2 linked regions of the Saccharomyces cerevisiae S288C genome follow. The protein of the gene in region 1 binds, or shares a complex with, the protein of each later gene. Each region holds a gene or a part of one and is shown on either strand. Other genes may lie near its edges. The genes, in order: SIP1 and GAL83.

Region 1 (4,806 bases):
ACGAATGGGGTGTTACTTTTAAGGACGACATATAAGCAATGGAACGACCAGTTAAGATAAATGGGCAATATCCTTCGGAAAGGTCAGCAAATATATTTAGCAGGTGACATGAAGAAGCAAATGTTGCTAAATAAAGATGGAACACCTAAGAGGAAGGTGGGCAGACCAGGCAGAAAAAGGATTGACTCTGAAGCTAAGAGTAGGAGGACTGCCCAGAATAGGGCAGCTCAACGAGCGTTCCGAGATAGGAAAGAAGCCAAAATGAAGAGTTTGCAAGAGAGGGTAGAGTTACTAGAACAGAAAGATGCGCAGAATAAGACTACCACGGACTTTTTACTATGTTCTTTAAAAAGTTTACTGTCGGAAATTACAAAATATAGAGCTAAGAATTCTGATGATGAAAGAATATTAGCCTTCCTCGATGATCTGCAAGAACAACAGAAAAGGGAAAACGAAAAAGGAACAAGTACAGCAGTTAGCAAGGCTGCAAAGGAATTGCCATCGCCTAATTCAGATGAAAACATGACTGTGAACACAAGTATAGAAGTACAGCCGCACACTCAAGAGAATGAGAAAGTTATGTGGAACATAGGCTCATGGAACGCTCCCAGTTTAACCAATTCGTGGGATTCTCCCCCCGGAAATCGAACAGGTGCCGTTACCATCGGTGACGAAAGTATTAATGGTAGTGAAATGCCAGATTTCAGTCTCGATCTTGTCTCCAATGATAGACAGACTGGTCTAGAAGCTTTAGATTACGACATTCATAACTACTTTCCTCAGCACTCTGAACGCCTGACCGCTGAAAAAATAGATACGTCAGCATGTCAATGTGAAATTGACCAAAAGTATCTTCCATACGAGACAGAAGATGATACTTTATTCCCCAGCGTGCTTCCCCTTGCTGTAGGGAGCCAGTGTAATAATATTTGCAACCGCAAGTGTATCGGGACCAAACCATGTTCAAATAAGGAGATCAAATGCGACTTAATAACAAGCCACCTGTTGAATCAGAAATCTCTAGCTTCGGTGCTTCCGGTGGCTGCTTCTCATACTAAAACAATTCGAACCCAATCTGAAGCAATTGAACACATTAGCAGCGCCATATCGAATGGAAAAGCGTCTTGCTACCACATTCTCGAAGAGATCTCCTCCCTACCAAAATATTCATCGTTGGACATAGATGATTTATGCAGCGAATTAATAATCAAGGCAAAATGTACAGATGACTGCAAAATAGTAGTCAAAGCTCGCGACTTACAGAGTGCTCTGGTTAGACAGCTCCTGTAGCATATAAACATATCTTGAGTATACATAATGTTGGATGAGAGCATGTAATATTGATCGCTTTGTACGATGATTATACCTTTTTTGTCTTTTTACCATTGTCTCTGATGGAATACTATTGACAATTAACAATGGTAGATATATCCGATACAAGTGGATACCTACATAAACAAGGTGTCTTACCTAGTGTTTCTTTCATTTGCACTTCTTTTTTTGCGTGTGGACTGACATCTTGGAAAGTTGAACTGTCATATTATATAGTTGTTGCAGCCGCCATGGGAAACAGTCCTTCTACTCAGGATCCATCGCATTCAACCAAAAAGGAGCATGGACATCATTTTCATGATGCATTCAATAAAGATCGTCAGGGAAGCATAACCTCTCAACTGTTTAACAATAGGAAGAGTACTCATAAGAGACGCGCCAGTCATACTAGCGAACATAATGGTGCCATTCCCCCTAGAATGCAATTACTTGCATCTCACGATCCATCGACAGATTGTGATGGGCGCATGAGCAGTGATACTACTATCGATAAGGGCCCGTCCCATCTATTCAAAAAGGATTATTCTTTGTCCTCTGCCGCAGACGTAAATGACACTACGTTGGCCAATTTGACTTTAAGTGATGATCACGATGTGGGTGCACCCGAAGAGCAGGTGAAATCTCCGTCGTTTTTGAGCCCAGGTCCATCAATGGCCACTGTCAAACGAACTAAAAGTGATCTGGATGATCTGTCTACTTTGAATTACACCATGGTTGACGAAACAACAGAAAATGAAAGAAACGACAAACCACACCATGAAAGGCATCGCTCAAGCATCATAGCTTTGAAAAAAAATCTTTTAGAAAGTTCAGCTACTGCTTCCCCTTCTCCAACGAGGTCTTCATCGGTGCATTCAGCATCACTTCCCGCCTTGACCAAGACGGATTCCATTGATATTCCTGTAAGACAACCCTATTCAAAGAAACCATCTATCCATGCATACCAATATCAATATCTCAATAACGACGAAACATTTTCTGAGAACTCTCAAATGGATAAAGAGGGAAACAGTGATAGTGTAGATGCAGAAGCAGGCGTACTTCAAAGTGAAGATATGGTTTTGAACCAGTCTCTTTTACAAAATGCTTTAAAAAAGGATATGCAACGTCTTTCAAGGGTGAATTCCTCTAATTCAATGTATACTGCAGAAAGGATAAGCCACGCTAATAACAATGGAAATATTGAAAATAACACCCGTAACAAGGGAAACGCGGGAGGCTCCAACGACGATTTTACCGCACCTATATCTGCTACTGCAAAAATGATGATGAAACTGTACGGTGATAAGACCTTGATGGAAAGAGATTTAAATAAGCACCATAATAAGACAAAGAAAGCCCAGAATAAAAAAATAAGGTCGGTTTCAAATTCGAGAAGATCCTCATTTGCTTCTTTGCATTCTTTACAATCAAGAAAGAGTATCTTAACAAACGGTTTGAATTTGCAGCCTTTGCATCCACTACATCCAATTATTAACGACAATGAAAGTCAATACTCTGCACCGCAGCATAGAGAAATATCGCATCACTCTAATTCCATGTCGAGTATGTCTTCAATATCATCAACAAACTCCACCGAAAATACTTTAGTTGTTCTAAAATGGAAAGACGATGGTACCGTGGCTGCAACCACGGAAGTCTTTATAGTAAGCACGGATATTGCTTCTGCTCTTAAAGAGCAAAGAGAGCTTACCTTGGATGAGAATGCAAGTTTAGACTCAGAAAAACAGTTAAATCCTAGGATCCGCATGGTTTATGATGATGTGCATAAGGAATGGTTTGTTCCAGATCTTTTTTTGCCTGCAGGAATTTATAGACTGCAATTCTCCATCAATGGTATATTGACTCACTCAAATTTTCTTCCTACAGCTACGGATTCAGAAGGCAATTTTGTCAACTGGTTTGAAGTATTGCCCGGTTATCATACGATCGAGCCATTTAGAAACGAAGCAGACATCGACTCGCAAGTAGAGCCAACACTGGATGAAGAATTGCCCAAGAGACCGGAACTTAAAAGATTTCCTTCTTCCTCTCGAAAATCTTCCTACTATTCTGCTAAGGGTGTTGAAAGGCCAAGTACACCGTTTTCAGATTATAGAGGCTTAAGTAGGTCCAGTTCAATAAATATGCGTGACTCATTTGTACGTCTGAAGGCTAGCAGTTTGGATTTGATGGCCGAGGTCAAGCCTGAGAGGTTGGTGTATTCGAACGAAATACCAAATTTATTTAATATAGGTGACGGCTCTACGATTTCTGTAAAAGGAGATTCTGATGACGTGCATCCCCAAGAACCTCCCAGCTTTACACATAGAGTTGTTGACTGTAATCAAGATGATTTATTTGCTACTTTACAGCAAGGCGGTAATATTGATGCAGAAACAGCAGAGGCGGTTTTTCTAAGTAGATACCCAGTTCCTGACTTGCCCATATACCTGAATTCATCCTATCTGAACAGAATACTAAACCAAAGCAATCAGAATTCAGAATCACATGAGAGGGATGAAGGTGCGATAAATCATATTATACCCCACGTGAATTTGAACCATTTACTGACAAGCAGTATTAGAGATGAAATAATCAGCGTAGCTTGCACTACTAGATATGAGGGGAAATTTATCACTCAAGTAGTTTATGCACCTTGTTATTATAAAACACAAAAGTCTCAGATCAGTAATTAGAATCTCAATTCGCAATGATTCTCACGAACTCTATTAATTCAATTTTTTTCTTTTTGATTCCTATGGCTCCTAGAACGTTTGCATTCCTTTTTTTTTTGTTCTAGTAGGTATTTCACGTCACGTTTCTGGCAATCCACTTCTCAGCATGCGTGGAATATACTTTAACATATCCAACGAATTTGCTGCATATTCTTATGTAATAGATAGCCGTTCCTAATGTGTAATGGCCTGCTTTGTTATAGAAATCATATATAAGTAGTGATTGAGCCGTAAAATCATCTCATATGCCCAATGGAAAACCAGTCATAGTATTATGAAGCATTCGCATTATTATATACCTCCATCTTCCCCTGTTATTCTGTCTTTGTATTTAAAATCATTTTTACGAATAGTGCGGTTGTCTTGGTTGATGACGTAATTCTTTGATATCTACTTATTTACGCGTTATTGGCCTTGAGTTATTAATATCATTATTGATGTTATTACTATTCACGAACAAGTTGTATAAATTTTCGAAATTATTATTATCACCATCTCCACATTGCATATATCGTTGCTCAATAAGTTCTGTCCATGGTTCTACAAATTCAAGCCCGATATCTTCACTAGCACCGAACCAATCTGTAACCTCGTCAGATAGAGATGGACCTTGGAAGAGTTCATTGTTCAGTAACGCTGTTGTGATATCGTTGTTTTGTTCAACAAAAGGATCAACGATACCTTTAGAAGATGTATCATTTGAATTCTGAGAATTGCTATTAATTTCCTCCGTCAAAGGCCTTTCCGAGGGTTCAAA
Region 2 (3,596 bases), on another chromosome or scaffold:
AAATCCATTCAGCATAGTAATGTAATCTGCCATATGCAAATTCCTCATCATGCTGAAATGATGTTCGTCACTTGTAAATTTTTGGATATCAGTAGCATTAGGGGGGGCCAATGGAGTTGTATTTATAGAAAATATACTTGAGGCCCTTCTGCTTAATGTGCCACCAACTTCATCTGAGGCATACCCGTCATTTTCGTCTCTGTGTTCATTTACGATAACGTCTGTGTCCGTGTGTGGGAATTCTTGAGGTGCGAAATCTTCATCTGATTCAACCATTTTTTAATATATAGTTTTATTTTTGTTTTTTGATTGAATCAAATAGACAACTAAAAATGACAATCACCCACAAAATGAAAAAAATAGGTGTATCTCTCTTTCCTTATTTATAATGTTTCCTATAAAATACGGATCTTCATCTTTAGATGGGTCCATGTGAAAGCTCAAAGGCGTGAGGGTGCCGTGTGAACGTTCAAAGTGATTTTGACCAATTACTGATATATATTCAGTGTCTGGCACAGAAGTCTGCACACATTGAGAAGGAGTGGGGATTGATGTTAGGGATATCTTCTATAATGCTACTAATTTATATATACATCCCGTAACAATTATGTGCATATACGTACGTACGTACGTATATACGTATATACATTCCAACCCATATATACAAATACTTACATGTAGACCTTGATATTTAGTATCATGGAGAGCTATAATGGAAAAATCGCAGAAACATCTTCGCTTTTATCTAAAAAGATGTAGCTATAAGCTCTATAATCATATCTATTGCAATGGTGTATACAGTATTTGGGTCACGTATTTTTGTTTATACCTAACAATGGATGCGACACATAATGTATTATGCTTAATACTGCTTGTCGCCAGATGGTTCAATATAACATGGTTCGGAATGGGAAGGGCGCCAGACGTATTATCAGTTTGCGCGTTTGAGTAACTATTCAAAATGACGTTTTCTAAATGAGGTGGCAGTTGTGGAGGAGTCAACCAGGCCATATTTTGGTGATTATTTTGCTGCTGATCAAGTGTCAAATAATATTGTTCCATTACATTTGGGTCGGTGAACACAGCAGGTATATCTTGAGTGTACTCTAAATTAGGTTTAGCGGGGGTCTCATCGTGAAAACGAGTGTAACCATCGCCCATGTCATCTGGTTCCTTTTCTATCTCCAATGCGATTCTCGAGCGAGCGCTCATAGGTCTCTTACTCAATTTGCTATCATCTACATGATTCGCTTTTTTTTCAGCCAGATGCTGCTGAGGTTCATTGCCCCAATCAGGCGGTGCGCTCACTTCCATATAGTTGACGAAGTTTCCCATTTGGTCGGTTGCGGTAGGTAAATAATCACTGAATCTTAACTCATTGTCAACAATAAATCTGAAACGATGAGTACCTGGAGGCAGCTGTAATTTTACATGCATAAGTCCAGGCTGTCCAGGGACTGGTACTAACCCGATCATCTTTCTCCATCCCGTAAAAGACCCAGTAACGTACACTTTATTACCCCCCTGTTGCCAAGTGATGTCAACTGGAAACATCATAGCTCTTCCTTTCTTGCCTTCCACAGTGCCCTGTTGCTGTTCTTGTTGCTGTTGAAAGCCTTGATTTTGAAGTGAGTCAGGCTGCTGAGATGGTTGATAATCCATTTTTTGCAAGGTATTTCCTGTCATATCTGCATCGTGGATATCGCCTTCGTTGCTGTCGATACTACTCGAGCTGCTAGCATCGATATCATCATCAGAATCAAAGGTCTCCCCAGAACCATTTTCCGCATGGTTTGAATATGGAGGTATTTCATCGTCATCATCGTCGTTAAAAATTAAACTCGATTTATGTCTTAAAGGATGCTGAGGCTCTAATTCATTAGGATTATCTACGTTCATTTGAGAAAAAGTGTACGCCAGGGAAGCCTCATTAGTTGAATCGGCGCTATGTTTACCATTAATCGTAGTGTTGCTAGCTGCGTCACTGACATCTAACATGGAAGCATCCTTGTTTTCAGGGTTGTCGCCAGCCATATTTCAGTGTAGATAATTTATTATTGTGCAGGAAACGACCTTATACAAAATATAGTAGCTCTTATCTAGGATGCTCTCTACTTGCGATTACAACAGTGGCCCAAATCCTACGAGATCGGTATTGTTTTCTTTGCCACGTTTTTTCGTGAGCTTTTCCAAAGGGGAGCAAATTGGTCGCTTAAGGATGAAAATTAGTGCAACAAAAAAAATAGCGTGGCCTGTGTTTTAACGGTAAAGACAAATTATTGAAGGTAGAGCAGGACTTTGAACCGGTCCGGATGAAGACCACTGGACCATGTTTCAGTCTCACATGGGTTTTTTGAAGCACAGCTTTTAAATTTGCAATGATTTTCTCCAAAGGTTTTCTTTGCGTCTTCATTCCAGGAAAAAGTATATCAAGTTTCAAGAACCCATTGTTATTTTCCTTCTTATATTCTATACGTTTTATTTACTGCTTGTTTATTTACTGAAGTAAGAAGGAGCACTGTTGAAATTATCAATTTGTCGCAAAATGCTCTTTATCGGAGGCAATGATACATTGGGACTTGTGTTGGATGCTCTTGATTCTTGGCGGTGAACGTTACTGTCCTCATCATCTCCAGATATATGAAATTGTGCCCTTTCATGTTGTCTCCCTCTGCTAACAGCATTAACCTTGTACTTATGATTGCTCCTGCAAGCTTTCTGTGTTACAGGTGGCCTATCAAAAAATATTCCCATGCCCATGTCTTTAGCCGCGGTGTCATCATACGTAACAGAAGTGAGTGATGATGAACTGCTCGAAACGGATACTGTCCTTGAAATTTCCATGTCTCCTGTGTTTACAGAAGGCATGATTCTTCGCAGAGGACTTAAGTCTGTTGGCGGTCTTGAAAAGCTCTTTGATGGATGTGAAGTTTGAGAAAGAAGCGAAGCACTGGATTGGTTTTTAGAACTACTCAAAGAATCAGGACCACTCATGGCGGCCAAATTCCTCCTAGATTTCGAAAATATAGAGGAGTTTGAAGACAATTCACCCAGGGCTAAAGAACTTCCGGACGAATGTACATACGGTGTAGATGCAGGATCTTCAGGAAACCCGCTTTTCAGGTACTGGAATGGAGAAGTAGAGGGATATACTGATGCAATGGAGGTGATAGAAGTAGTGGAGAGGCTACTTGGAATCGGATGAGGGTCATTTGGAATATTTATCACAGGCACTAAAATTGCAGGTGCCTGTGTCTCCACAATGCCATTATTATTTCCAGTATTTCGTATATTCACGTCATCGCAATTCTGAGCAACGGAGATAAGAATAGGTGGCACTTTAGATTGACCTATCCCCGTGAGCGAAACACCAGTGTTTTCATTGAAGGTGGTAGGGGCGGCGGTAGCAGTATTCACAACGGTTTTTCGCGAGCCCTTGGATTTTATTCTGCGCCTTTGGACGCCTTTAGTATGTGTCCTCAAATGTCTTTTTAGTTCATCGCTTCGGCTGAAGCTTTTCGGACAGCCCTGAACGGTACATTTGTGAGGCTTCTCGCCAGTGTGCGTTCTTCCGTGCCTTTTTTTATGTTCAAGTC

Evidence for each region.
Region 2: SIP1 (region 1) and GAL83 share a complex: the UniProt entries of both Saccharomyces cerevisiae proteins name them as parts of the SNF1 kinase complex.

What each region holds. Positions count from the first base shown.
Region 1 is NC_001136.10:1,314,530-1,319,335, reverse strand, and holds SIP1 (Sip1p), read left to right. Parts: upstream 1-1,562; coding exon 1,563-4,010; downstream 4,011-4,806. Other genes in the region: CAD1 (Cad1p), read left to right, coding at 61-1,290; ARO80 (Aro80p), read right to left, coding at 4,444-4,806. UniProt on the Saccharomyces cerevisiae protein: Beta subunit of the SNF1 kinase complex, which is required for transcriptional, metabolic, and developmental adaptations in response to glucose limitation.
Region 2 is NC_001137.3:208,199-211,794, forward strand, and holds GAL83 (Gal83p), read right to left. Parts: upstream 2,035-3,596; coding exon 781-2,034; downstream 1-780. Other genes in the region: CHO1 (CDP-diacylglycerol-serine O-phosphatidyltransferase), read right to left, coding at 1-276; MIG3 (Mig3p), read right to left, coding at 2,494-3,596. UniProt on the Saccharomyces cerevisiae protein: Beta subunit of the SNF1 kinase complex, which is required for transcriptional, metabolic, and developmental adaptations in response to glucose limitation.